Lytechinus pictus: one gene and its partner. Each later gene encodes a partner of the first gene's protein in a complex. Links are inferred from orthologs where the notes say so. Each region holds a gene or a part of one and is shown on either strand. Other genes may lie near its edges.

Region 1 (15,325 bases):
ATATTCTATTCATACATGTACAAGTGACAAACAGAAATTTTGCCAATCATCAGAACTTTAAATAATGCTAATTGTTCATGAATAGTTATTGTTCATGAGTAGCATTTTTTTTAGAATTTTAATTCAAATTCAATTCAGATTTGTAAAATAACAAATTATGCAAAACACTAACCACCAAAAAACCTCGCAATCTTCCCTTTCACAATCTATGAAATTAAAGAACAAAGCTTTTCACAAAAATATGATTTTTTTTTTTAAATTCAGATACCCCCCCTCCCGACGAGTGACTTATTTGGAATCCTGTCTTCAAATTATTTTTGCTTGTTCACACGTAAATAATCTAAGTTATACCATATGAAAGAAGAGATTCTAAGCTTTATATTGATAGGTCAGTTGTCTATTATATTTGTTATTAAGTTATGATAAATCATCTATAATTCGTGGTTTCATTTTTTTTTATGGGACGCACTGTATATCACAAATCATACTAATTCAACTGAACAGATTATGACCAAAGAAATCATGTAAGCATGCCACTTTATGATGAAAACCCTGACAATTAGTTCAAGACAAATAATCTGAGCGCTGGGCCCCAAGAGAGAAAATGGCAACTGGGTCAACGTGAGGGAGGGGGAAAACACTGGTTAATCCGATCCATGTGGTAACAGGAGAAAAGTTTATGAAGTCATCAAAAATAAAGGTTTCGCAACCTGCCTTGCCAAGCTCAGACGGCTTAAAGGCAGAATCAGGGATATGTATACAAGTGAAAAGCAAGAGATACTAAGCATATCTAGACTGACTCGATAGCACACTCACCACAATAGAATACCCATAAATTTAGGAGAACTTGTTCAAGTCTCAAATTATTTTCAGCATAGTTTGACCTCGTCGAAAACAGCCGTTTTAAAATTTTTTGTACAAGCTTCATACAGGTGGTTTGAATAAAAATGTATAAAACGGCTGTTTTCGACTCGCCGTACGGCCGCCATAGAGCAAATGTGACCGAGGTATTACTGATTTGGTCTGATTCCAAACTGCTAGCTTTCTACAGCCCATGCACCCAACTGCTCATTAGGATGAGAAAATTATGTAATTTGCTTCCAAACTATGGGAATACCAGCAACCAAATTCCTGTGAAAGTTGTTGTAACACTAATAGTATCTTCTTTGAGAAAAATTACAATTATCTTTCATACTGGCAAAAATACCTGGTACATGTACTTTCCTGATCGGGATAGATCAGGGTAAATGTCCAATCGGAGAATAAGAATTCTCGAACTTTGTGTCTCTCTAAATAGGGCTACTGTAAATATTTTCAAAATTACTATTCAAAATATAACACTGGTATATGTACATGTTAGTCCTCAGGAGGAGGGGGGCCGGGAGGAGGGCCTGGTGGGGACCAGACACAACCATATTGCTGCTTACATTTCCAACCTGATAAATACATTGAACAGGGTGGTCTTTGCTGGTTGGTGGGTGGAATTCATGTGACAATTTTAATGCTGAGGAGGTAAAAAAATGCCAGAAATCAGAATAAAAATAGTTTATAATTAAGGAAAATTTCTTAGTTGTTGCATTTTGGCATTTAATGTACCCCCCGCCTATATTAGGAGTATTTTTTTGGGGGGGTGGGCGAATCATTTGGTAAATGTTTGGAAATCAATGTATTGAAAAGGGTATAAATTTTACCAATCAAATAAATTCTGAGTCTTTTATTGATACAGATGAGTCCCCATAGTCACATAGCATTTTTTATAAAGCTTGGAAGAATTTATGGTAAAATCAGGGACATGGAATTTGAAGAAATATGAAATAATGCAAAAAAAAAGATAATTACCTTTTAAGTATATTATTCCCTCTCATATTAACAGAGAAAACAGGATAGTTAAGGTTGCTTCAAATTCAAACGAGAAAATGTTACTATAAGTAAACAAAACACAAAACTTTCCTTTTTAGTAAAGGAAAGCAAGATTTTCAAGACTGGCATTGCAGAAATGCTAGTTTTATCAACTTTCCCCCCTTTTTTGGGCTCTGATCAGTGATACCTTTAACCGATTGTAGCATACAAGATTAATGTTTTCCCTTAAATCTTCATGTATGTGAACATCTCATGTCTATGAAGTTTGTGGGAAAGACAGGAAGAATGGCGGAAGGAAAGGAGAAGGTTAGCAAAGGGCTAAATTATACCTGTGGGTTTTGAGACGTCGTAAGGACAGAACATAGCTCTGGCACAACGCCAGGGCTCTTCAAAGCTTGCTTCAGTTCTTCTGTGCCCTGCAGTGGGGGAAGGAGAAGGAAGATGAGGAGGAGGAGAGGAGGGGCAGAGGAAGATGGGAGGGGAGAAGGAAGGGTTGAGGAAGACATAAGGGGAGGGAACGGGGATGAGGGAGAGGGGGATGGGAGGAGGAAGAAGGTGAAGAGGAAAAGTGAAAAACAAAAAGAGAAGGAAATGGCAGGAAAAAAAAACAAAGTTGACAAATAGAAAACAAGGAAAGAGATATGAGAAAAAAAGAGGATATGAAAATAAAAAAGAGCAAGGTGGAAGAGATAGGGAAGGAAACAAAGAAAGAAAATTAAAAAGAAAGGGAGAAAGAATGAGAGAGACAGAGAGAGAGAGAGCAAGAAAGAAAGAAAGAAAGAAAGAAAAAAAGAAAGAGAGAAAGAGAGAAGAAAGAGAGAAAGAAAAAGAAAGTAAGAAAGAAAGAAAGAGAGAAAGAAAGAAAGAGAGAAAGAAAGAGAGAAAGAAAGAGAGGAAGAAAGAAAGTAAAAAAGAAAAAAAGAAAGTAAGAAAGAAAGAGAGAAAGAGAGAAAGAAAGAGAGAAGGAAAGAAAATGAGTAAGCGATGCAGCACATCGAAATGGGGTGGGGGAGGGATTGAATCAGAAAACAAAAACATGGTAAATTAAAAAGGGAATGAGGTAGCATGTGGAAATAATGAAATTGAACATTTAAAAAAAAATACTCAGATCACTGCAAAGGAAATTTAGAAAGATGACGAAAAAAGTTATGGGTAATGCCAAGTACAGTTTTTGTAGTGAAAAAAATATAATTATCGATTATCAGTAAGCAAATTAGAATCATAAAATGTGATCATTTTTATTGCACCTTTCACACATTTTGTTTTATGACATCTATAGTTTTTCAAACATTTCATTTTTTCACATTATAATTTAAGCTTTGAAACAGAACTTTAGATTAATAAAATAATAAAATGAAAGGGAAATATGGTTGAAACAAAACAGGATGGAAACATATGTTCGTAATCAGGTGTGGATTCATGGGTTACTTCCTCTTTCTTAATGATTTTCCTTTAAAAAACTAAGTACAAGTCAGTGAAATTGCAATAAAAATTGTAATAAGTGGAAAAGATCAAGGCATTCAACACCTAACAATCTCTCAAGTTACATCTCTAACTTTCCATAAAAGTTCCATATACTGAGGACCATTGGAATTCAACAAAAAACAAATTGCCATAATAAAGCTTGAAATATAGAATGTGAGTCTGAATAAATTCATGAAAATCAATTATGTACACAAAAAACAAAATTTAAATATGAAATGTTTCAGAAAGTGAAACTGAATATTCTGTATTCACAATCACAGCTATTAAGTTTGAAAAAAAAAATAGACCACTTCAGATCTATACATCTCATTGGATGAAAAATTAAAACTTTCACCATATTTTCTGCTATTTTCATATTTTCAAAACCAAATCTCTATTCATAACTGCTTCAACGAATGTCTGCTTCTCTGATCATAGGAATCAAAGTTCGAGAGTTCATATATATTTAAGTACAAAAATAAAAAGCATATCAATAACAAACAAGCGAACTTATCTGGAATACATATAGGAATACATGAATCCCCCAAACCAGTAGTGAGAAAATATGTTTGATGATAAAAAGGGTTTGGTGAACATAATTGAATATACATGTAATTAGGTGAAATCATAAAATACATTGATGGAAGGTGTTGGAGATAATAAAAAAACAACAACAAGATAAGAAAACAAGTTTAAAGGAAGGGTGGATACAACTTCTAGATCAAATTTAAAATCATTAACAAGTCCACCCAACCAAAAGCTGATTTGAATACAAAAAAGAGAAATTAAATACCGGGTATGCTTAACACTGAAAATTTCATAAAAATCGGATATAAAGTAGGAAAGTTACTATGACATTTTAAAGTTTCGCTTATTTTTACAAGACAGTTATATTCACATCCTAGTCGGTATGCAAATGAGGGGACTAATGACATCACCCACTCACTATTTCTTTTGTATTTTATTACTTGAAATATGACATATTCTTATTTCCCCTCATTGTGAACAAGTTTAAGTCCTCCCTGAACAAGTGGGATTACCATTGTTTTAAGATTTTGTGGTTCAGTCAAGTTCATCTTTATTGTAAAATCTGTAAAAATTGAAATATTGTATAATGCGGACATTAAAAAAACAAAAGAAATAGCGAGGGACATCATCTACTCTCTCATGTCTCTGAGTTGTGCATAACTGTTTTTTGAAAAAATAAGCAAAACTTAAAAATGTCATAACTTTTTTTATTTTACATCCAACTTTGATAAAATTTTCAGCTTTCTGCTTCTATGATTTTTCTCATTGATTCAAATCAACATTTTCTGGGGTAGAGTTGACCTTTAAGGGGCATCCCCCTCTCCTTATATCATCTCTCTTCTCCAACATCATTTTATCATCGTTCATAAATTTATTACTTTAAAGGTGATCAGATCATCCTCAGGTTGTCTATCAAAACAAAACAATGAACCAATGAAGTTTCTCAGTTAGTTTCACATATCAATATACATGTAGAATGAAAAGTTACTTAGGAAAAGTCCACCCCAAAAAAAACTTTAAAAAAAGAAAAAATCCAACAAGTGTAACACTGAAAATGTTAACAAAATCATATGTAAGATAACAAAATTTTGACATTTTTAAGCTTCCCTTGATTTCACAAAAAAAATTATATGCACATCCTGCCAATGAGAAGACTGATGACATCACCCACTCACTACTTCTTTTGTACATGCATAATGATGCATTTTATTTATTATATGAAATATGTAATATTCTAATTTTCTCCTCATTGTCATGTGATTATGTGAAACAAAGCTTTACTCCAGAGCTGTTAGCATGTGGTATTACCATTTATGGTTCAGTCGAGTTGAACCTTATTGTCAAATTTCAAATCTGTAAAAAATGAAATATTTTACAATTCAAACAATAAAAAACAAAAGAAGTAGTGAGTGCCAGACATCATCGACTCTCATTTGCATGTCATTGAGTTTTGTGAAAAATATGAAAAACTTAAAAATATCATAACTTTCCTATTTTACATCCGATCGTAATGAAATTTTCAGTGTTGGTCGCATTTCATAAGTTGGGTATGCAAAAAGGGTGGCGGATGAACAAATAATAAATTGTACCTACATCACAGCCCCATGGCCAAATTTGTTGTGTAAGGTCTCATTTTTGGAGCTAGAACTATAGGCTAAATAGTAAATATATTACTACAAATTAGATCAATACAATATCAGCAACAAAAACTATAGCACATTAAGTTTGAAGTTAAGGGGTGGCAGAGCCGGTGGATGCGGTGAATGATAATATTGTTGTAATGTGATGCTTAACGCATCATTTTTGTTCATTTACAGCATTTTCATTAGTTAAATGTCACTACTTAAACAAACTAAAGTTCAAATTTAATGTCAAAACAAACTTTTGAAACTACTGTATTTCAATGTCCCTATACAGTTAAATTATTAATGATGTTCCTAATAAATACACTCGATTAAGTAGGAAAAGTTTATCCAATATATACATTCAATAACCCTTTTTTCCCTAATTTCTTTTAATTTCAATATTGATTGAGTCTAATTTCACTTTAGAATTATTTTAAAGACTCTGGGCATCACTTTTTTAAGTTGAAGTACATTCATAAAAAAAGATATAGGCATGCAGGTAAATTATGTTAAGTTAATTAACTTAAATAACAACTAAAACATGCATTATTGTGCCATGATACATTCTATTATGTCATAATATGTACAATTGTACATGTACATGTATACTGACTGTCAGACTCATATTTCTAGCCAGTTTAAATTATGCAAATTTGACAACTTTGAAAACATTCCAGAATTAGCTACATGTACATGTGCATTTTAGCTCCAATCTGCAACCTATCTACCGGTAATTAGTAAATCCTATCTAATTAGTAAATTTTAGGAAAATATTGTTAACTATTTAATTTATAAACTTAATTTATACTATTTTAAAGTCTTGTATCATTAAAAAAACAACATTTTTTTCTATTCACGGTGTAGTGAATTTGCAAGGCATGTGAGGGTGAGCTGAGAGTCACTTTTTTGGAAAAAATTGCAAAATTAAACATTGTTAAAATTAGATGTAATTAATATGCATGCAATAACAGATTACCACTTTTTTGTTATGGATGTATTAAGCATTGATGTTCAAATAATACAACTGCAAAATAACATCGGTATAACAATAACAATAACAATAACAAAATACTAGGGTGATCCAATGTAGCATTAATTTTTTACACCATTTTTTGTGCAGAAAGTCCAATTTGAGAAAAATGCATTTAAAAATTCAAATTTACATTGACATCAATGTATTAGATATAAAATGAGTCATTTTAAGAAAAATAAAGGTATTTTAGGATAAAATCCTCCTTCAATATTTGAAGAATGGTAATACCTAAAAAATAACTTTTTCGACCATTTTTACCCTGTTCGCAAAATTGGACCACTTTATGACATGCGACCTGTTATGCTTGTTTGATTTTTCTCTATTCAAAATTATATCAATCTGTGATGGACTTGACCTTCAAAAAAGCATTCACATTTATTGTGAGTAGCCTTTATTTTGATCCCCAACCCACCCCTCAGTAGAATAAGAGAAAAATCTTCCTGCAATCAATATTGTTCAGTTACAATGTATTTTCAATGAATCCAGAACATAGTCGTAGATACTGCTCGTACTGTGGAGATCTGAAGAAAAAGAAAGTAGGGCCTAACTCTCTCACCCAAATTTCAACAAAGAAGTTTCATCAGGAATTTAGATCTAAACATTAAACACCTTTGGCAAAGCTAAAATATAAATAAAAAAACATTATTTCAAGATTAATTTTTAATCAACATCACCACCCAGTGTTGGTAAAAAATAAATTGTTAAACATGACTAGCACTATACAAATAGCTCCATGGTATAGGCATATCCACCACCAGCACCATCTGCATTATCAATATCATCACCATCACCATTATGATTTATCATCATCATCGTCATCACATCATCATTCATCTGTTCATATTTATGACATCATCGTCATCATCATCAACATCCTCATCATCACCACCGCCATCACCATCACCATCATCATTCAGTCACAGAAGCAAAATCAGCTGTACTTGGTCTCACTCTCAGACATACTCATAGTTCAGTCTCAGCCTCGGCTTCTGCTGCAAATCATCATGCAAAAAAAGCCAAAATCAGCAGATCAGGATTCAGGCCAGGCCAGGGCCAGGGATATGGCCTGTGTCAGTCTGAGCTGCTGAGTCTGAGCAATTTTGGCAAAGGCGTATTACTAATTTTAGCCGTTGCTTGCCAGTGGCAGTGTAGTCCTTACCTGTTGTATTACCACATTGTCAGGCACAAGAAGTTTCAGAAGAATTTGTTCAAGCGCTGATGACATTTTCCCAGGCTAAGCTCCGTCCTTCCCTGACACAAACTCAAGTCTACTCTAAAATCTAATGCCAATGCACTTCCTACGATTACGGTGCGCTCCCAACCCCGTCTTCTGCCAATTCTCCACGTAAAATGAATGAAAGTGTGCATGCATGGCACGGGTGTGATGAGTAAGTTAGACTCTTCAAAGAAAAAATGAGAAACCGGAACTTATTTGCACATGCACTGTGTAAGTGTAAAGCAAGCGACAAACAATAAAACAACTGGTAACACATCTACGTCTGAACAGTTCAAAGGTCATTATGTCCACATGGTTAATGTTATTTTGACACTGACGTGTTTCTCTCAGACTTTGTAAGATTGTAACTTTGAGGAGGTTTCGTCGCATCAAATATGGGAAAATCGAAGAATAAGAGATTCCGTTCAAAGAAGGCACAGCCGACTGGTTTGGAGAGTGTGAAGGAAATACAAGCAGAGGAAGAAGAACTCGGCACGTCCACGACCTCCTCGGACACCGTACAGCTGAAGACAGTCGGAGTGTTGGAGAAGGTGCGCGGGGCCCCGCCCCGGTAGTTTTTGTGTGTGTCGAGTGGTTGAGAGCAAGAGACGTGATTGCGGCCGGGTCGGGTGGGGTCACTTGTTCACTTCTCCCACGTCCCACCCTGCCTTGAGTGTGGGGAATCTAAATTATGTAGATCACTGCAGTATACAATTCACATTTAAAAATTCATTAAAATGCCACTTTAAAAACCATACAGTTGTCATGGCCATGGGGATCAGTTATTCACTGACAGTGACACAAGTCACTGGACCTGGACTCTGGAGCGCTCAAAACTTGAATTTTTGGCATATATTTGTGCAGGCCCTCTATTGATAGAAAGTAAAATTTTAAGAAAATTGTCATTTTTCAATCTCTTTTTTTAATTCAGAAAAAATACTTGAATAAAAGACTTCAATTTTTAAGATAATAAGAACCCGGGGGGGGGGGGGGGCACTTCCATTGACGAGTGGATACCATGCGCGACCATTTATTCTCGAATAGCACCCTAAACAAGTATTTTCCAAATTCTGAAAATGCATCCCTAACAAGTATTGGCATGTGAAACCCTACCCTTAACAAGTCCTGGGGGGGGGGGGGGGAGGGGGGGCCATGCAGTCAAACAAATAAATAAGTACAGCGATGTTTTAATTTTTAAGTCACAGTCTTAAGTTTTACCTTTACCTACATCATTGGGTTTATAGTACGGCACCAGCTTGTGTAAATCGTACACGTAGTGTTGACTGTTGGGGCAGAAAGTACATCCTTTATAAAACATTTTAGTCTTTTTTATACCCACGCAAATTTGACCCTTGACGTAGCTTTCCTAGCGAAATAGATACCCTTTTTTCATTATTTTAGTGGTCTTGACACTCTTATTACGTTACATACGTAACATGCCCTATCTTGGAAAAAGAGATCCTTATTACATGTTTTTTGTGGTCGCGCATGGTATCCAATCATCAATGTAAGTGGCCCCTCTGGGCTTAAGAACCAAGTTATATGATGAATAGTTGTAATGGAAAATGACAGTGTAAAAAAAAAATCAAGCATTTGTCAAGAGAAACAAGAGAAAATAAGCCAAACATTGCCAACCACAGGGAATAGTAACCTTGTTCATTAAATGAGCGGTTGGGATGAGACTTTCTGCAGGTATTTTGTAGCTGGCCCAAATCAGAATGCCCATTATAGCAAAACGGTTAATTATGTTCATTATTGTCCATGTGAGCGCTCTAATTTTAGCTCAATTGTATTCAGTTTTACCCTTGGCCTCGGCCCTCCATTTACAGTAACTTAGAGGCGCTGGTCAGAAAATTGGGACCGTCCCAGTTTACAGGGACTATCTCAGTTTTCAAAGATTCCACCACACAAGAAATCTAGGAAAGTTCATTCACCTGTGCCGACACCAATCTAGTGCGCTAGTCAATGTAAACATATAATCGAGTTTCACAAAAAGATTATTGGAAGACGGCATATCGTGAAAAGACAGTGAACTGGGGGGAATTGAGGTCACTGAATCTAATTTTAGCACTCTCAATCCCCGAAATTGCCGTCTTTGTCCCGCATGGGTAAGTGAAAAAAAAATGTCCCCATAAACAAGGACAGTCTCAATTTATTAAGACATGATTTGTCTTGGTTTATGAGTATATTCTTGTTTTCTGGGACAATCCCAATTTTTGGACCAGCGCCTCTACTGATTTGAATTGTCTCAGTTAACAATTAGATTAGATAATAAATTCAACTGTCTCATACTGATAATAAGCTTTTAATTTGTCATATATAGTCTAGTAGACTACATTAAAATAATCCTCAACACCTAAAACACAATGAAAATTACTTAAAAGTCTCAGAAATTCCATATCTAACTTCTGAAAAAGTAGCAAAATAGATCATCTTTATGTGCTGAAAAATAAACATAACAGGACCTAGCTTGCTCAGCTGTGTGTCGCACGCACGTTTTTAGTATACAAGTTATCTCGTGTGTAAGCATTGTCGTATGCTAGCGAAAATCCATTAAAAAAAAAATTCATAATGCAAGCCTATGTCTATGGCTTTACTATGTATTGTGTGCTGCACAGTGTGGCTTTTCACGACCATACACCGAAACTTCAACAATTCAAGTTTTGACAATGATCTTGAGATTTTGATGATATCGAACCTTAAACCCCTAAAATTAGAAAAGAATGAAATAAGCTATCTATATCTCAGAATAATTGACAAATCTAGCTCATTTTGAGCGGATTACGTTTGATTTTAAAGCTAACTTTGATATCAAAATCCGCTGCATTCACCGTACAGGGGTACAATCATGGTGGATTCTTCCGCCCAACGCGCACATACAAATTTCGTGCACATCCGCGATAGCGCCAATTAGCGCTCATTGTGGATCCTACTGTCTCACTCTCAGTTTTCAATCAAACTAATTGATTAATGTTACAGTCTACAAATTCAATTTTTAGGAAAGTTCAATCACCTGTCAAGTGCTGACACTTATCAAGTGCACAAGTCAATGTAAACATACAGTATCAGGTGTCTAACAAGATTATTGGAAGACGGCAAGTCCTAAACAATATATGGTGAATTGAATCTGTTGGGATCGAGGTCACTGAATCTACGTTATTTTTAGCACTCAATCCCCTTAATTTTGGTTTATGTCCTGCAGCTGCGCAGGGAGAAGTGGGAAAAAAAACTCAATTTATCAAGACACGATTTGTCTCATTTTATGAGGATATCCTTCTTTTTGGGGCACTATCTCAATTATTGGACCAGCACATCTATGTTAATCAGTCTAAAAAATGTGAGTCATACATGGTGTATTGTCTTTGATCATTTGTGAACTTGGTAAATGTCATGTTGGTCAGTAGTAGTCGGCTGAAATACGTCTGGAAGATGTTTTTTTTTAAAATTTGTTTCCTCCTTCAGTCCAGGCCAGCAGATTGGAAAACCGAATGAAAAAACAATGCAGAAAAATGGTAGTACTAAAAATGGGTGAAGGAGAAGAATATATGCAACAATCTGTCAGAGATGCATGCTCTTTGGATGAACTTGACAACTTTTTCTGTCTTCATTTTCAGCTTCAAAGTAGCTCGGCTGAGGAGAGAGAATGTGCCTGCACGTCTCTGGCAAACTTGGTCCAGGATCCCCAAGCACTGCAGACCTTGGTCCAACAGAAAGCAGTGCGTAGCCTTGGGCCTCTTCTCGTTGACCCATCATCAGGTATCCGAGAAGCTGCGGCTGGAGCTTTGAGGTAAATTTCTTTGTATATTTCTGTCTGTCTCTCTCCCTGTCTGTCTCTCTCACTCTCTCTCTTTCAGAAAAAAAGAAGAAGTAATTTTTACTTGCATTTAGGATCTGTGTGCAGATTGTCCTAATTTCCAAGGTTTATTTCAAAGTTAAAGAGTTCACAAACTAGTGGCTTAAATTATAATGCAATTGCAAAGCACTCAGGGGTCAATTTTCTTACAAAAATCGACCAAAGAACTTTCTGAACGCAGAAATCATTGTTGCTATTAAAGACTCAAGATAGGGATTGATAAATAATCTGATGAAAATATGCATTTTGTAAATTTGTAATCTGATGAATTTACAAATTTGTAAATTCAAATTAGTAAATTTACAAATGTTGTAAATTCACAAGTGATTGTTTTATTGTGAATAATGAAATATTAATTTATTTTCTTGATATTGTTCAGGAATCTGACTGTAGCAGGTGGACATGATATTTGTGACCATATGATAGATGAAGACATCATGACCCCTCTAGTTGCATTCCTACTTCAGGTAAGAATCCATGTCAAAGGTTATTGTATACTCTATACACTTTTCTTTATGGCTTTTGTCCTCAAACAACTCAACAAATAGAGTCAATGTTTTTAGTTTATGTATTAAAGATATTTCACTTATTTTCTTTTATTATTATTTTTTGATTGATTGATTGATTTATTCATTAATTCATTTATCTATTTCATTTTTTAAAATATTCTTTTATATTTTGTTGGCAGGCTCAGGTCAAATTTTAGATCAGTTGTCAAGCTATAGAGTATCATGAAAGGTTAATGAATTTTCAACTAAGACATTGACCTTGTTGGAATGTGATAAGAGCAGGCTCTTAGTCTTTCTGTCATGAAAGTTAGATGAGGATGTCATTTATGTTGAAGAATCTACTTATTTGCCATTTCAGAGTTATTAATGAGACTTTTCCTTGAATAGTAAACTTGACAGCCAAGCATACAACATCAGATGATGAACATTGAATCTGTTATAATCCCATAAAATGATCAACCTTTTTGTAGACCTGTCTAACCTCCATTTTTGTCCAGTTTTAATTCACTGTACAAACTGCTCATGCCATGATAATTTAAGAGCAGTACAGTTATGATACAAGCTAGAACTAAGATATTCATTTGCAATTTAGTTGTTTTATGCCAATGAATGTTATGTTTAGTATTCAGATGGAATTCCACAGACCTCTGCAAAGCATAAAGAGAATAAGATGCCTCAGCATGACTCAAGTTTAGAAGCATTAGTGCAAGCTGTACATCTTGTCTGGAATTTATGGTAAGATTTTTAGATTTCATTGAGGACTGTTTATGAGGTGGAGAGAATGATGATGATACTGATAATTGAGGTGGTTGTGATGATGATGATGATTATAAGGATCGTGAGGATCGTGATCCTGATGATCACAATGATCATAAGGATGAAAATGATGATGGTGATGGTGAAAATAATTGATGTGGTGGTGATGGCGGTAGTGGTGGTGGTGGTGGTGGTGATGATGACGACGATGAAGGTGGTGGTGTTTGCGATGATGGAGTGGTGATGGTTGGGATGAGGATGGTGATGGTTGGGATGAGGATGGTGATGGTTGGGATGAGGATGGTGATGATGATATGTCAGAGGTCAAACAATTCCTCTTCTAACCCCCCCCCCCCGTGTTTCTTTCTAAATGCTATCTTTTCTTAATTTTTTTCTACTTTCATTCATTCTATCTTTCTGTCTGTCTCTCTTTTTTATTTCTTTTGTTATTAAAAGAAAGTCTTTGAAAAATGAAATGAAAATAACATTTCATTCCAGTTGTGAGTTGTCAAGTTTTCTTTGAAAGTTCATGATTGTGATTTGAACTTTTTCCTCCTTTCTTAGTGAGAGTAATAGTACAGCAGTAGCCATAGCTAATCAACAAGGTTTAGTCACAGTCTTCCTTCACTGTCTTCAAGCCTACCCAACTATGGTGGATTTAGCCATCTGTGCAGGTACGTCTATTTCACACCCTCTCATGAAACTGAAGAGATGCCAACCATTCTTTTTTCCCCTGCATATCTTTTCCTTTGTTTGCTATGAACAAGGTGATATTTTGTATGTTATGTTATATTTCCTTTAAATTTCTGATCAAGGAGTATAATGCCCATGAGACAAGATGGAAATGAAATGCAGTGACCAACTAAGAAGCTTAGCTTGTTGGCCATAGTATGAATTATAAATGAAATAGTGAGTGTGTGACCTAATTAGTACCTGGATGTTATTTATATAACTGTTTTGTGAAACTAAGAAGAAACATTAGAATGCATGAACATTTTGCAACAGATTCCTATGAATGTGATTATAAAAGGTTTTTCTGTTCCATTCAAATCAACTTTATTTTGAATGAATGAAAGAACAAACGAACGAATAAATATATGAATGACTTACTGACTAAATGAATGCTATGATTAATTAATTTGATTAATTGAATTAATAAACGAGTGACTGAATGAATGAATAATATGATTAATTGTTTGATAAAGTGATGAATGAAACAAATAATGAATTAATGGATGACCGACTGACTGAATGAATAATATGATTGTTTGATAAAGTGATGAATGAGATAAATGAATGAATAAATGGGTGACTGACGAAATTATGTTTGAGTAAATCATTCATGAGTTTGTGAATGAATGACAATTGACTGGCTGAATGAATATGATTAATTGTTGAATAAATGAATGAATCATGCAAAGTTGACACAAACATATGAATATGGAATGAATGACTAGTTAATCAAATTCTTGAAATTCATAGTTAATTCCTTTATAAATAACCCTGAAATTGTGTCGTGCCCAGTAGCCATGTACCTAATCCAAGGTCATTTCGTGCACAGGTATGCATGTAGGTAGCTCCCAATTACTGAACAGAATAATACATGATAGACCCACAGAGTAGAGGGGGCTATTTCTGCTTGAAAAATATGACAGTTGAACCTCTCACAATAAAGACATGTTCTCAGTGAAATAGTGCATCGATTGTAAATATATGTGCATCGTCCAATATTCCTCATACAATCAGCTAGGTTCATGTTATTAATTTCCAAGAATTCCATTTAAAAGGTCTTTCCAAGAACAAAGACCCAAGAGGTACCTGTATTTGAATGAACAGAAGGCGGTTTTGTGGAAATAAATACAAAGGGGAAAAAAAAGCAGGAGAAAAAGCTATTTAATTTCACCTGATATAAAAAGAAGTAGACAGATTTATACAAGTTGCTTTAAACATTTATGTACATACACCTATACGCCAAAGCTGGCCGCATGTGCAGACAATGTGCAATTTAGGTACCAAACATATGAGCATTCAATTTAATTTGCAGAGCCTTTATGAAAATCTTCTGTACTCACCAAGTCTTGAAAGTATTCTAGGTTGGTTTTATAAATCCTTTTAAGAGAGGCAGTGAATAATTGAAATAAGGACTCGGCAAGCCTTCCCTTTTTCTAATTTTCATAGCTTTCCTAAATATTCGTTATTTCGCACATGCGCTCAGCCTAGTCTTGATTCTTCAGACCTTGGTTGCCATACAAGGCCTCTGTCCTTGACACTGAATGTATAATTTGCAGTAGAGTTATGAGAAAACCGCATTTATGCTGATTTTCCTACTTCTTTTTTAGACGTTATATAAAATATGTAATTTTAATAGAAATCTGTAATCATCAAATAGATTAACCAATTTTCAAATGTAGACAAGGGTCTGATCCTGTAAACTAGTCACATGAAATAACAGTCCAACATTCAGATACTTGCATAGTGAAA
Region 2 (16,336 bases), on another chromosome or scaffold:
ACTTTCTAATTTACTCCATTGGCTCTCTTTTATTAGAGAAGCAGTTTTCAGCTCAGCTTCTTTTTGCCAAAATGAGATAAGGGCATAAAAAACATTCTATAATAAAAACTAATTTTTTCAAAAGTTTCAAAACCAAACCATTCGAGTACGGTACAATGTTTAATTAAACATTGTACTCCACATCTCAGTCAAACACACAGATAGTTCTTGCCACAAGTAAACAACAATGCCTGGAGAATTACTTCCTCCCAGTCAATGGTACAACTTTGCAATCATGCTTTTCAAATTATAATAGTTTTATACCATGTGAGTCAGAAAAACCTTAAACCTCACAAATCACCAAGTTAAGAAAAAGATATGTCACAAACACAAAACTATTAGTCTGGGCTCGAGTATAAAAGTGTATTTTCTTCCTAATAATTTTGATATCATATTTATCATAAATATGGTATCAAATTATTTAGGATAATCATTAGGTACTTTTTACTGTGATGTAAATTTGATCTGTGTAAATATAAGGCATAAGGTCATGACTGCAATAAAAAATCAAGATGTCAATGAAGTCATAATATTACTAGGATGAGAATCGCAGTATATTCCATTGCAAAACACCTTTTCATTACCCGGTAATTAGCAATAATAACATGAATATTGTTTAATAAACACTTTTTAGTATCAAATTTTAAGTTAATTTTATTGAAATGGTGTTTGCAATAACAAATACACATATGTGTTTGATTGTGGATGGCCTGAAGTAGCAGTTAACTTCAATTCAATATCATTGACTTGACTTATATTTTTCAACTAGAGTCTATGTACATCTACATGCGCATTTTACCAAACTCTTATTTTCATCACAATCCAATCAGGTACGGGAATGAAGGACTTCTTCTGTAGATATTCTGGTCTTCACTTAGGGCATTTGAAATTTATCTAGATGGTTTGAACTTAAGCTTTACATGTTCTAACTTTTACACCTAGACATTTGTGTCTGTGATTGTGATTGTCATGATTGATGTTCTGTTCTAAATTTTTATAATTGATCACATAATATCAAACTTCCATTTTGAGGCCCTTTTTGGCAATTGGCATAGTTATAGTATACCCATTTAGTCATGGCATGGCGCCGATAATGATAAAAAAATTATGACACTGCCTTCACCATGTTGACAGGGTCGGAGTCAGACTCGGCTCAGTAAATAAATGTCAAGAGGGTTGTTGCTGTCTCTTGCAAGTCTTGGCCTGGCAGAGCAGAGTTAGAGGGGCTTCGCGGGGTGACCAGACGTCCCGTATTTCCCGGGATCATCCCGTATTTTGCTCCATTGTCCCAGCATCCCGACAAACCCTTCCCGGGACGCCTATTTGTCCCGTATTTCAGAATATTGAACAAAATATAATTAATACATAGAAAAGTGAATAATTTTCATCAAATAACCAACAGATGACGAAGCAGAGACAACAATAAAATCGATAACTGTAAACTTTTGCAAGTTCTGCAGTCCGGCTGCGGTCATTTTCTTGCTACCCATTACAGTGCAAACAAGCATACATACATGTACTAGCTGCAGCATGCACGTGGCTTGCACTGGCCTGCTGCATGTGGTAGGATCGGAGCGGATTCTCATTGGTGCAAACAATCTCAACATGACAAACAGTTTTTCCACCAAAATAATCACAAAATCGGCAGGAAATTTATATGCTTTATTATGGATTCTCAGATTACTGATTTGGTGTTGTAATCAGAGGAGAAAGCCTATTATTTGAGTTTTCATAATTAGATCTAGTTATTAAAGCTTCTTGAGTCTTGTTGTGATCGGTGCGAACTTGTAATGGGATGAGAGATGCCTGTGTGTGATGCCACGATGTTTCATCTAATTTTTAAGTTTAACAAATTTTTTTCATTTCTAAAACATTTTGTTTTTAAAAGAATTTAAAATATATAACAAGAGGAACGCCTCTGGCAGTCTCGCCTGCATTACGCGATTTAATAGAGCAGCAGTGCTAACTTTGAAAACTACTATAAAATAATCATTAACAAAAACACCATTCATATCATGACATAATACCACATTCATTGACCATAAATGACATTTGAATGGTGACTTAAGACTTGTCAACTACACTCATGTCCACATTTCATTCACTCTATTCTATCCATAAACTATCCAATAGTGCTGTTGTCGATAGGCCTCATATCGACATTGATGTCGACATACAAAGGATTTTCAATGTTTCCGACATGTCGACATGCACGCACCCACATCGACATGTAAACATAAAATAAAAAGGGGTCTAGCCTAAAGTCACGAGTGTACAGCTTAGCTGAAAAGTTAGAAGCATTTATCCACAGTAATTGGCGCGATTAAAAGGTTTATTCAGCTTAGCAGCGCATTAAATGAAAAAAAGAATACCTGCAAGCTGCGCGGCAGCAGAAATACGTCAGTGCGGGGCCGGCCTGCCCGATTGAGCCGCCCTCGATCCCGACGATCACTCTAGATATATATCTAGCGCTATAGCGAGCGTAGCTTAGTAGCATTCACCGTACCCATCCACGGAAATATGTACCCATCGCTATTCACCGTGCTTGATAATACGTTGCTCCTCAATGCATTACTTTTCACATAAAAACGTGAGCAGCAGCGAACATGTGTTTTTGTCAAAGTTGTGACCGCCGCAATTGAGCAACTTTATATCACGAAGTCACAGAAAACTTCCCTTCCTTCGTTTGGAGATCGTTGCACGGATTGCCGCGGAAGTGATACTGAAATTATCGGTCGATTTTCATTATTTTTTATTGTCACTTTGAGGAGCTTGCGTTTGCAGCACATGTGTACCAGCGTATAATACGCAATGATCACTGTTGTAATTGGTGATTCTCAAATTGGCTCCGAGTGTTATTGCGCAATGCTTTCGAGACCGGATCGTGGTACAAAAACTTGATTCTCCAGAAAAAAATGTGGATTAATCGGTGATTTTGGAAGTGAATTCACTCTAGCTTAGTGAAAATGTTTTCCGAACTGAGCCTGTATTATATAGATCTAGATCTAGTGTGGGGATATCACTCGTGTCAAGGTGAATACATTTGATTAAGAGTGTTATGTTCTAGGATCGAATGATTTTTTTTTTAATGTTAGGAGCCTAGGCTAAATTACAGTCCCTTTTTCATGTCGACATTGTCGATGTCGGGATTAATTTTTAAGCGACAGGTTGACATGGATTTTTGTTCCCGACAACAGCACTACTATCTAATGTTATGATGGCAATTCAACAATTACCCAAACATGGCCTAAGTTTATTGACCTTAACTGACCTTTGACCTTGGTTTTGTGACCTGAAACTCACCGGGGATGTTCAGTGATACTTGATTACTCTTATATCCCAAGTTTTATGAACTAGATCCATAAACTTTCAGAGTTAGGATGGTAATTTATCAAATACCCCCAATACGGCCAAAGTTCATTGACCTTTAATGACCTTTGACCATGGTCATGTGACCTGAAACTCGTAAAGGATGTTCAGTGATACTTGATTACTCTTATGTCCAAGTTTTATGAACTAGATCCATAAACTTTCAAAGTTATGATGGTAATTCAACAAATACCCCCAACTTGGCCAAAGTTAATTGACCCAAAATGACCTTTGACCTTGGTCATGTGACCTGAAACTCAGGCAAGATGTTCACTAATACTTGAATAACCTTATGCCCAAGTTTCATGAACTAGGTCCATATACTTTCTAAGCTATGATGTCATTTAAAAAACTTAACCTTCGGTTAAGATTTTGAAAATAATTATCCCAACATGGTCTAAGTTCATTGACCCTAAATGACCTTTGACCTTGGTCATGTGACCTGAAACTCAGGCAGGATGTTAAGTAATACTTGATTGACCTTATGTCCAAGTTTCATGAACTAGGTCCATATACTTTCTAAGCTATGATGTCATTTAAAAAACTTAACCTTCGGTTAAGATTTTGAAAATAATTATCCCAACATGGTCTAAGTTCATTGACCCTAAATGACCTTTGACCTTGGTCATGTGACCTGAAACTCAGGCAGGATGTTAAGTAATACTTGATTGACCTTATGTCCAAGTTTCATGAACTAGGTCCATATACTTTCTAAGTTATGATGTCATTTCAAAAACTTAACCTTCGGTTAAGATTTGATGTTGACTTCGCCGCCGCCGTCAGAAAAACGGCGCCTATAGTCTCGCTCTGCTATGCAGGCGAGACAAAAACCCCACAAATATGATATCATTAAGATTTTTGTTAGATTGGACTTTTATTTGTTTGCTTGAAGTTTGAACTTTTTTCCTCTTTCTTTCTTTTCTATCCTTTCTTCATCCTTCCTGCTTGCCTTTTTATTTTGTTCAATCTTTCCTAGCTTTCTTTCATGATCCTTTCTCTCTCGTTCATTTTTCTTTCTTTCCTTTCTCTTACTTTCCTTCTTTTTAAAATTTTCATCTTCTATTTCCTTCATTCTTTCCTTAAACTTTTCTTTGCTTCCTCCTCCCTTCATCTCCTTTTTCTTTTCATTCTTTCTCTCTTGCCATTATTTTCTTTCTTTTTTCATTCTTTCCTCCATCTTTCATTCTTTTCTTTTCCTGTAACTGTATTCTTTCTTTCCCTTCCTGCTTTTCTTCTTTGTTTCTTTCAAAGAATGAAGGAAACATTTTTATTTCCTATAATTCTTTCTCTCCTTTATTCTCTCTTTCACACAACTATTCCTCTTCCCTTCCTTTCTTTCTGTATTCATTTCAAAGAATGACGGAAACCTTTTTCTTTCTTTCATCCTTGACTTTAAATTTTTTTTTTTTTTCCCTTCATTTTTTCTTTATTTCCTCTCAATTTATGTCTTTTCTTTCCTTCCTTCATTCTTTCGTTCACCCTCCCTTCCTTTTCTTTATATTTTTTTTCACAGGTCTAACATTGTATAGCCTTCTTTGTTGATTATTCTTATTAAGACCTGGCTCAGTCGATCCAGCTTGCAACGCAACGCGGCATGCTTTGCCTTTGTCGATTGTCCCGTAATCCGTATTTCATTTTGTGAAATCTGGTCACCCTGCCTGGCTGGGGCTTCATCATGTTCGTGAAGTGGTTAGGTTAGCGGACAATAAGCTCAGGACACTATCTGCAATTTAGTCAAAACAAGTTAGACAGACGGTTTCGAGAAACGGGCCCCAGGCTGCACCCAGCACGATCCCGACTAGACAGGAATAACCGTCGTTTCTGGGGATTTATTCAACAATTTCTGACATTTTACTGTAATCCCCATTTACCGACGGTAGGGTGTACGTGTGGGCTCGCATGTGTTCTCATTCCCTCCCTTTTGTCAATTCACAGTCCAAAGTTTGATGTAATTTTACACATCGAATTTACAATCTAAGGATGTATAAACAACAAACTTTTGAACCTTGATATTCCAATATTTGAATACTTTAAACGATATAGATGAAAAAGGCATGAAAAATATACTTTACCGATGTTTAATTGGGTTGAACACGATAAAAATGGTCAAAATGGCAGCCAAACTATAAAATATTTACAAACGAACGTCAACAATCACGAATGTGATATCGATATTGCTTTCGATATTATACGATCTGCTCCATATGCGAACGAAACCGAAGATAAACGATACTAGTTATACTAGTACTAGTACTAGTTATAATCGCGATATATCGATTCGAGACATTAAGTTAATAACGATAATGACGTCATTCAAGATGGCAACTTGCAAGAAAAACCGTCAGGTCAGGTGAAAATGTCTTAGATGACAGATTTCTCAATCATCCAGAGGATTTTTTTTCAATAACTCCGGCCCAAGGTATGCAATTGTCTTAAGTTATTTATATTTCCCTGATAATGGAAACCATGAAACTTTCAATTTTGCTTAAAAAACAGTTTTAAATCGCGATCTATAAAACGCTAGTTCACTATACGTTGGCTGTAGGTACGGGGCCCCATCCCCTTCAGTCTATGTATGGTGAGTGGAGCCAACGTAGTTCAGCGGAACAACCAAAATACAGAGACTGAAGCTTTAAGTTTTGGTCTAGATCCCGACCCGACCGACGTGTGCCGACTACCAGACCCCCGCGGTCCCGGGCCCGGGCTGCGCGGCGACGACTGTCCGTGGAGCTTGATATCGAAGAAGGCGTAAATCAAGGTAAACAATAAACAAATTGTGATCATATACCTAGTAATTGAACGATTCTTTAAAATTGAATTGATTAATGTTCCTTACACTATCCGGTGCATCCTCCTGGCTGTAGTAAAGTAATTTATTCAATGTTGTTTTTTAGCGATTATTAAGGGTATTCTTGAGCTCACACCGCACTGGCACACACGTGGAATTGGCCTAGGCTTTGTTCAATAAGATTTGAATCGAATCGGTTAGTTTATTAAAATTGACCTATTAACAAAGATTTAGTGGATTGAACGCTTTTTATGATAATAAAAAGAATGTTAAATATTTGAAAAGACGATATAATTAATAAGAAAGCACGATTTTAATGAAGCTCATATCAATAAATAAAGGTAGTAAAATAATGCCTGAAAGACTATTTCAGTCACATGATTTATCACATGACTCAACAGCAGTGGACCAAAATGATGGGGCCTTGTGGAATGGAATACACAGCTCCCAGAACTGTTCTTGAATGAATCGGATTACTTACTTGTGACAATTATGGAGCCATTATTTTTCATATCATTCTTGTGCGGATCCATCATATTCTCAGCTTCCATCATGTCCATCTCGCTTTTTTCCTTGAGCTTGTTGTTGCCCTCTCCTCGGACTCTTGTGGCTGCTGATTCGGCGGACAGTGACAAGTGGATGCCGGGGAGCACCAGCGGGGATCTACATTCCATTTCCCGTGAAGAGGGCTCTTTATTCGTCAATCCACCTGGCTTAAAGTTAAACTCGAATTCACAAGGACAAGGTCAAGCAGCCATTGATCATTTGAATCCTCTTGCATGTACTCAAGAACATATTTTAGTTGACATTGACAACTTGCCTGTGGATTTTACGAAGTGCCATCACAGAAAAGAACTATTGAGTGCATACAGCAATGCTTCCTCAGCATTCATTGAATGTGCAGTTAAGAATGCCAAGCCGGTTTTGTATTGTGGACAATGTGTATTGGAGTTTGACTTATCAAGGAAAGCGTGGAGTAATATTGAAAATGTAGGCTATATTACTTTATTGTCTTTAATTCATAAGTGTGCATTTTACTATTATTTTGTTCATTTTTATGCTCGAGTCTGGGAATTTAAATGTCAGTGCGCAGCTCGGTTGGTGTTGGAGCTGTTGGCGCTCTTCAATCTGTGTAGATTATCTGCGCCAGGTCATTTCCAAGTTCCAGATTTATAAGCGTGGATGGATTTGCTTATTCCCTTTTGAATGTCCTTGGCATTCTATCTAAAGACTAGTCTGACCTGTCAAATAGCCATGTGCAATATAAATTATGATTAGTTAACTCTACCATTATTGTGCATCTTTGTGCACTCATTCAATGAACAGGGTTATGATATAACCTTGTTCTCTGTTGTTAGGACTTCCTGTGTGGGGAAATAAGGCTGGCAATGTTTTATGTGTTTTCTCTTGTTCTTGGGTATAATAAGTATTTTTTGTTACAAAACAGAAGTGATATACTGCATAGATCTACATGTATGTAGATTCACAATAGGCAGGGTGGTTGCAGTGAACAAGTGTGTCAGTAATGCTTATATAATGATGATATGGTTTTATTGTTTTATGCCTGAATATGGTTTTATTGTTTACTCCTGAATATGGTTTTATTGGTTCTTTTTCTTTCTCACTATGGCAAATGCCTGCAAAACTGCAACGAGCTGTCTTATACACAAGATATACACCTGTAAATCAATAACTTATTTCAAATAATTATTCTGCACATTAAAATCTATGTACAAACTAATAAACTGTCAAGAAATTAATAATACATGTAAGTATTTTTAGTTCTAAGCAAAAAGAAATGGCATTAAAAAAAATCAAACAGGCATTCCATTAGACTAGACCATGATTCACAATTTGTATTTCCCTTACAGGATGAAGAATGCAAAGAAGATATACTTGTTTCTGATAAACTGCAGATTGTGAGTCAAACACAAGCTTTCCTCACTCAGCTGTGGCGTGATGGGAATTGTCAAAGTAAGTTTTCAGGAAACATTCCGGACATATCCCCTCCACCTGGTAGAATAGGACTCCATGTGTGACTGTATTAAGATATTTGGTAGTTTTGATAATGAATATTTTTTTCCCTTCTCCCGCCTTTTTTACCCTTTTTGTTTCTCTTTCAAATATTTCCACATCACACTTCTCTCCCCCTCTCTTTTTCATTAAATCTCTCTGTTTATCCCTTTCTTTCTGCATACATGTACTTTCACTGTATAAGTTGCAAGGGCATTTCATTTCTGATGCAATTTAATCACGTTATACTGTCATCCTGTAAGCAAATTTTCATTTTCATTCAGTTTATATACTCTAGGTAGTTTGTCCTTACAAGTTTTAACCATAATGTACATCACTTAATAACAATAATAATAATACTCAATTTTTATATAGTGCAAGTTACAGTTAAGTCTCTGAGCGCTCAAAGTCTCTAAGCTCTCAATTAATTACTTGATAGAGATATTTTATTTTTATTTATTTATTTACTGTCAGTTAAAAAACATTACTTTTGATTCCTTTTTAATTACGTGTACACAAGACTAAATTGTTATTACTTTTCCATTCTTCCTTATCAGTTATACTTTTCTTCTTTACACTGCAAACTTTACAGATTGCTATGATGAAAATCTGAATTTTAATGCAACCAACTCAACTCAAGAATTCCTCAAGAACTATAATGACACGATGACCTGCTTTTTGAACAATGGCGGATGCTCTGTAAGTATTCTTGAATGAGATAATTCATTACTATTTTATTTTTTTGTCTTCTTCCTCTTCCTCTTCTCCTTATAAATCCTCCACTTCCTCCTATTTATTTTCTTTCAGTTTCTTGTTCCTCTGCTTCCCAACTTCGTGTCATAGTGTCAATCTATAGAATATCTGCCTGATATTTCTTATTACATGGATACTGAAAGTGGATAAAATGGCAAGAGCACACTCTGATTATCAATTTAATTTTTCTCCTATTATTAAGTGTAATAAGTACATCAATGGCACAGAGTATAATGTATGTACCAGATAATTCAATTTTAGTGTGATAATAACTAAACTGGGTTGCTTCATTCCCCCACTTTGTACATTTACTGTATGTATTCCCTTTCCAATTTAACATTATTTTGCCCTGTTTGGAAAAATCTGTTCATGGTTGTGATTAAAAATACTCATAGCATGTCAAAATAACTGACCCTCTCATCGAAAACAGAATAATAAACAAAATCAAGATTTAAACTAAATTAAGTTTACATGGAAAACCCACATAGCTTTGAAGAACTTTCCAGTAAATTTTCAATCACTTCATTGGTTACACAGTCATGCTTGTAACATTCTCATTACAAATGAAAGTTTTGCACCTACTTATCACAAGCTCCCTGATCAGATTCAGTAATGATTTGGGGGCAGATTCACTCCAACAAACAGTCGATTTGAATGAAAAGAGAGAGAAAAAAATGAAACTTGGATGTAAAATAAGAAACTTACAACATTTTAAAGTTTTGCTTAATTTCACGCTACCCAGTAGGAAGAAATCCTTTGAATGCTCAGTGTACTCGATCAGGGATAATTAATAGTATGCAGCACTAGCGTACTTACGGGGGGGGGGGGGGGCAGAGGGGGCAGTCTGCCCCCCCCTGACGAGCCACAACCCATGCAAAGGACGTATCCCTGCCCCCCCTGACGAGCTTGAAGACCTTTATTGCCCCCCCCCCCCCTGACGAGCTTGAAGACCCTTTTTTTTTTTTTTTTTTTTTTTTTTTTTTGCTTGTCAAATTTTTTGGCGGACGGTTTTGCTCCCCCTGTGAAAAATCCCAGGCACGCCACTGGTATGCAGCACTTAGAAACATTGTATTAAGCATTATATTAATGTTCCACGTTATTATTATTATTTATTCACTTTACTAAGTGCGTATTAAATATATTATCCAACAATCTTTTTGATGTTCATTTCACAGGATGATCCAGTTCCAGTCGACTCAAATATGACGTTATGTGATAATTGCAGTGAAGAATATGACAGACTGAATGCCCTGTACAATGACATGAGCGACGACCAACTTTGTATGGACATCATAGACTTGGTAAGCAATCTAACTGCTGTAAATGAAACTCAACTTGAAATGCTGGCACATGTTCTGGATTCTGGTCTAATTCAAATTTTGGTCTAAAGTTGTGGTTTAACTATGGAAAGCCAATAGTGACACAAATCTGTGAGTGTCAAGATATGACTCTCAAATCATTCACAACTGTCTAGGAATAATAATTGAAGCACATGTAGCTTTCGTCACCATCAAAGCATGAAGAAAGAACATCCACACATAAGAAACATACCATGCAAACATATTGCTCACCTTTTGGGCTTTCCGTATATTTAGCGCAGAGCTAGACCATTGCCTAGATATAGAAAACTTGACTTGGAATACATTCATACAAAGAGAATATGAAATGAATGTCAATGAATAATTTTATCTTTAAAATGTATAACTTGTTAGTATATGAACATTGACTAGGTTTCTATATGACCATGGGTCACTGGAAGTACTAAAAAGACATCAAATCACAGTAGCAGGGGTTCACTATTAGTTCACTTGTGAGTGTGTACATGAACACTTCTTTGGCTAAGTGTGTAAATGTTCCCTAAAAGGAATTTGTGTATCCTTGAAAAATGTTCTAAAGAAGATAGTCTGGGATGTACTTCTAGTTAACTATTGTGTATTACATACAGGCCAAAAGTTTACATACATACACCCATGAAATTCAGTGAAATTTGTTTGCTTGCCAAACATCGTAAAATTTACTATATCTTCATAAATATATATACTACAATGACAAATTTGGTATCAAATGAAAGAGCGTATTAAGCTCTTTCACATGGTTGGGATGACAAAGCAATGTGTTTGATATCAAATTTGTCATGATAGCACAAATATTTTATAAGATACAATAAATTTATGATGTTTGGCAAGTGTCAACTTTTCTTTGAATTTCCTGGGTATATGTAAACTTCTGGCCTCAACTGTATCATCTTGAAACGTGCTACATTGAAATTTATTTTGCTGTTTTTCCTTTTTTAGATGAATCGCACCCGCATCATGTGGAAAGATAATCAATGTCGGAAGATAGAAAGAGAGTTTTTAGCTGTAGTAACCCTAAGCGTCTTTGTCTGTATATTGCCATTATTCTTTTACATTACTGCAATGCTGCATGGGACCAAAAAACAACAAAGACTTGTAGAAAGTGAGTACCATGATTTTTTTTTTTAAACATGAACATTTATTTATGAAGAAACATAGACATTCATTGTGAACTTTGATTTGTTCATTGTTTTTGTACCAATGATGGTAACAATGAATAATCAAGATTATGCATGTACTTAAGGGCATAAACTCTCTTACAGATGATTATTGCCTTCATAGAAGGATTCGGTCAGTTCCCCCCCCCCCCCCACCACAGCCCCAAATACAATATCCACTCCCTGGGGAGTATTTTGATAAAGGGCTAAATAATTTTGCATCATGAACTATTAGAAATAGAATAATTTGGTCAATATTTTTCTACTTTTGTACAGAATCCAAAGAAAGGAAACGGAGGTCACTATCAGCTTCAGCAAGACTCTATGCTGGGACAACAACTTCCCTACGCTAATTAATTTATGTTATATGCCTTTAATTAAAGACTCCAAAGGAAATCAGGAAATGTCACCTCGATGACATGTTAAAGCATCATACTTTATTTTTGTTTGAGACAAAATACAAGGACTCGATAGACTTTGGAGGCAAAACAATGTTATTAGTATACTGTTAAAATTGTCTGTTAAGGCCACTCATGCAAAAAAGAAAAAGTAGCCACATTCCTTTTAAATGGAAACAGTTTTGATGGCCATTAAAGACAGGTTTCTGCTATAGATAGGAAGCTGCTAAGGCAGGTTTTACTCACTTGTACTTCAGCATTTATTAATCTGCCTTAAATTTGAGAACTTTCCATCTTGAGTTTAATATTAAGCTTTAAAAAAATGAAATATTATGTAAGTCAAATATATGACATATTAGATACAGGAGCGGATCCAGGGTGGGGGGGGGGGCGCCCACCCCCCTCCCATATTGGGGCAACCTGCAGAAAAAAGTGTCCTTATTAACTTAAGAGAAACCTTCGGTGCATGTTACGGGGCTTTCTGGCCCCCCTCCTTCCAAAAATTCCTGGATCCGCCCCTGATGTATGTATGTATTTAAATCAAATATGTAATCATTGTTTGTTTGGTAAAATACACTGCTATACTCAGATTGTCTTCATTTTATCATCTGCCATTTGGAGGTAAGTTATATGAAATTAAGTAAAATTCCTGCATAGCTTTTGTTTTCTCCTAGCTGCCTTTCTATTCCCCATAGTACTACTCTTTGTCATTGGTGTGTTTGATTCCATATACCATAGCCAAACGCTAGGTAAAGTAGCACACAGGTGTTGCTAATGAGATTGTTCAGGGGATGGTTTCATAAAAAGTTTTGTCAGTGATTTACTGCAAATCCCTGCATCTGATTGGTTGAGGCAAACTAGTCACTGAGAAACACTGACTAACAGGGTTTTTGTATCTTTACAATTTCTCTCCCAAGTCTCCAATGCAGCATTTGCTCCACTCCTTACTTAATATATATACATGTATGTATATTCTTGCAATGATTTACATACTGTTGTTGTTTATTCTTATGAAGAGAGATAATAAAGAAGGATTTAATTTATAATAGTATAATTTTATATTAATCATAATGATTATGATGATGATGATACTACTTCTACTAATACTACTACTACTTCTACTACTACTTCTACTACTACTACTACTACTACTAAGTACTACTACTACTACTGCTGCTACTACTACTACTACTACTACTACTACTACTACTACTACTACTACTACTACTACTACTACTACTACTACTACTACTACTACTACTACTGCTACTCCTACTGACATTTTGATATTTACATATATGTCAAGAAGATATGTGCATTATTTCATATTTACTGAAGCCTGTGTCGGACTATATGATCTGCTCTGATCTTATTTTGGAAAATAACTTGCAGACAGATGAACTTGTGGGTGGCCAAGCTCAGCGGTATGCAACACAGAAGAATTTGGTATTGTACCCTAATTGCATAATGGTAGATATCTTGATAAGTAACGAACCACTTGGCTCCCGTCTGACCTAGAGGATTACAATGATTTTGAAGCTAAATAATTGATTTGACTTTGAATCCTTGACAGCTTGCACATTAAAATATACTACTTTTCTGTTTGAAAAGACCAGTGAACTTTCCCTATGCATTGAAGTAGTTAACATTTTTTTTTTACTCCGCTTACTGTATAATTAAATGCGTAGATCATAAAATAGCATTAAGCAAACAAATTGTAACATTAACATAACTTTGCAGATGGCACTCATATGACACATTGTGTTGGTAGTGTCATTAAACCTCAATCAATCAACAAAAGTTATAAAAACTGTCTTTTAAATCATTTTTTGTTCACAATTTTGAATTAAAAATTTATTAATACAGTGGATTGTAAAGTGTGAGGCAGGCTTGAGTTTGAAACCTGAAAATTTGTAATTCATTTAATCTACATTGTTGTTCAATCCATGTAATTGGACAAAAATGTTTGGAGGACATTTGTTTATCATATAAATATTACTGCAAAGTGGTCATATTTAATGGAATTTTCCTATTATTCTAAGTTTTGTTTTCAAAGGATTTGTTTATATTTGGAGGAGGTTTAGCCCTCTTGTAACTTTGTATTCAAATGCATAACCATGATTGTTGAAAGTTCTGCACTAAAAGTGGTCCTATTTAAAATTGATCGTGAACATATAATGTATATGGTTTAAGGGAAAAATAATTGTTTCAAGGGTTACAGCTCGTTATTTTGAAGGTTTATTATTCCAAAATTTTATTCGTCCAAATTAGGGGGTGGGTTTGAATATGGACTTGAAATTGAAATAAAGAGTGATTTAGTTTTATTGGCTCTACAAGTAGTTTGCAGTCAAAGTGCATACTTTAGTAAAAGGTGTACTTAGAATGCAAAAAGAAAATGGGGCTGTTTTTTTAGGATGCAATTTACGCCCATTTTTTGTGAAATAGGGGATACAGTGGCTTAAATAATAACACTGCTAAAAGGGGCTGAATTCTGGGGTGCAGAACGATCGCTGTCACATCTTTGAGTATATGGTTACAACACGGGATCCTGTTTAATAAAGGCTTGCTATAATAAGAAATATAAATGTACTACCAGTCAACCAAATTGAATGATTACAGTAGCTTTTAACTGTTATGCAATTTTTTTTATTATTATAAAAAGTTCATGAAACAGGCCCTGGAAGTTCGGGGGCCCCATTAAAAAAAAAGACCTTACCACTAAGGTAACCTTTGTAAACTATTATGGAAACCTTTATTTGATTGCACCGTTTCCACGGTACTTTGATAATAATGGCAAAGTCACCATAATTGGAAGTTCTTTGCGGAATATGTACCCAACATTTTTTAAATTATTATATCAGTCAGGAATTTGCAATAACCACTCTTGGATTAAATTGAAACTTATATAATATGTGTATTGAAAGATGAAATTTATTATACGATTTTGATTTGGTAAGTAACCTATATATTGTAAATCAACCATTGGAATTGGGACAGGAGGCTTCATGCCACAGTAATTAAGTTAACTTTTTCTGTCCCTGGCGTTCCACTGGTTGATATTTCTTATTTTGTATTGTATACATTGAAATGTATTTTTGAATATTATTTGCCGAATAAATAATAATAATAACCTCAGATATTTTTGAGAATAAAATTTTCAATGATATGCAGAATGCTCTTGGCTTTAAATTAATATTGATTTTGTTCAGTATTCTGATTGTTTGTGCAGTGAAAATGGCCCTATATAGTTTCGGCTTCAGATTTTGGTATTCCCTCCCGGACCCAGTCCTCCTCTCCCCGCTCTCTTGACTTCTCGATATCTCCCTTCTCTCCTCCCCCTTGTAATCACTCCCTTTCTTTTGTTTCTTAAATTATAAATGATTAAAACAGGATAGAAATCAAACGCGATTCACAATGTAAACATGTCTTAGACATAAGACAATGATGAGTCATACAATCATTATCAAATCCAATGAGTTTATGAAGAATATTTCACATTTTACACATACTTGATAGAATCAACCATGAATTATTTTTAGTAGCATATATTTATTCAATGAACTTGGTATAAATGAGAAGAAAGAATACAGATAAAAATAAAATATAATTTGTTAACACCATGCAAAAACCTTCGCAGCGAAATGAGATCAAAACGTTTAGAATATACATGGACTGACTCTATTCTTTTTAGAACATTTATCAGCCTTTCAATAAATGATAATCAATAGAATATCTTTCTTCAATTTTATGCATAAAGTAATGAACTGTATACATGTAGAGGCAGCAGATCAGAGAAAGTAACAGAGGGCAATTTAAAGGAATATTTTTATTATATTATGTGAAGTATGTTTCGTATATAGCTCGAGTATGATATATCGATTGATTTAAAAGCAAAGTCCATAAAAAAGGACTTCAAGATTAGTTGATAAACTGTAGAAAAAACAGACATTCCTATGGAATTTTAATTGAATTTGAATGTAAAATAAAGTTATGATTTTTTTTCTCGAAATGTGCTTATTTTCACAAAATATATGATATGCACACCTTTCTCCTCCACCCCCTTATTTTCTTCCTCCTTCCTTAATTCTTTCCTTCTCCTTCTCAATTTTTCCGTCTTCTTCTTCCTCCTCCTTCTTCTTCTTCCTCGTCTTTACCCTCTTCTTCTTTTTTCTTCAATCAACACATCACCATTCCCACATTTGAGGCCATACCTATAATTTCTCTATTTTTTAAAATGCTTTAAAAGGGCGGCAGGCCTACATTTCTTGTTTTTGTGCGCTTAACTAACAAACTCTTGCTTTTGTGCGCTTACCATGCTTTAATAGTATAGGTTGTCTTGTTTGATTTCTCGTGCAATGTACAATATAAATATATATCAACATTTCTCTTTCACATCAACATTAAAAAATAGATAATTCTGTTTAAGATATCAAATACGTTGCAGGAGTACTCAGTCACGGATAT

Evidence for each region.
Region 2: HEAT repeat-containing protein 3-like (region 1) and ribosome production factor 2 homolog share a complex: the UniProt entries of both Homo sapiens proteins name them as parts of the hexameric 5S RNP precursor complex. The link is inferred for Lytechinus pictus from reciprocal best matches to the Homo sapiens genes HEATR3 and RPF2.

What each region holds. Positions count from the first base shown.
Region 1 is NC_087246.1:37,177,299-37,192,623, forward strand, and holds the start of HEAT repeat-containing protein 3-like, read left to right. Parts: upstream 1-8,011; 5' UTR 8,012-8,121; coding exon 8,122-8,277; intron 8,278-11,340; coding exon 11,341-11,513; intron 11,514-11,958; coding exon 11,959-12,046; intron 12,047-12,710; coding exon 12,711-12,823; intron 12,824-13,408; coding exon 13,409-13,518; intron 13,519-14,916; exon of another isoform or gene 14,917-15,068; intron 15,069-15,325. Other genes in the region: importin-4-like, read right to left, coding at 2,190-2,276, 7,670-7,735. UniProt on the Homo sapiens protein: Plays a role in ribosome biogenesis and in nuclear import of the 60S ribosomal protein L5/large ribosomal subunit protein uL18 (RPL5). Required for proper erythrocyte maturation.
Region 2 is NC_087248.1:10,398,702-10,415,037, reverse strand, and holds the start of ribosome production factor 2 homolog, read right to left. Parts: upstream 6,588-16,336; 5' UTR 6,259-6,587; coding exon 6,245-6,258; intron 1-6,244. Other genes in the region: osteopetrosis-associated transmembrane protein 1-like, read left to right, coding at 6,689-7,186, 8,068-8,170, 8,802-8,908, 10,138-10,263, 11,257-11,419, 11,751-11,827. UniProt on the Homo sapiens protein: Involved in ribosomal large subunit assembly. May regulate the localization of the 5S RNP/5S ribonucleoprotein particle to the nucleolus.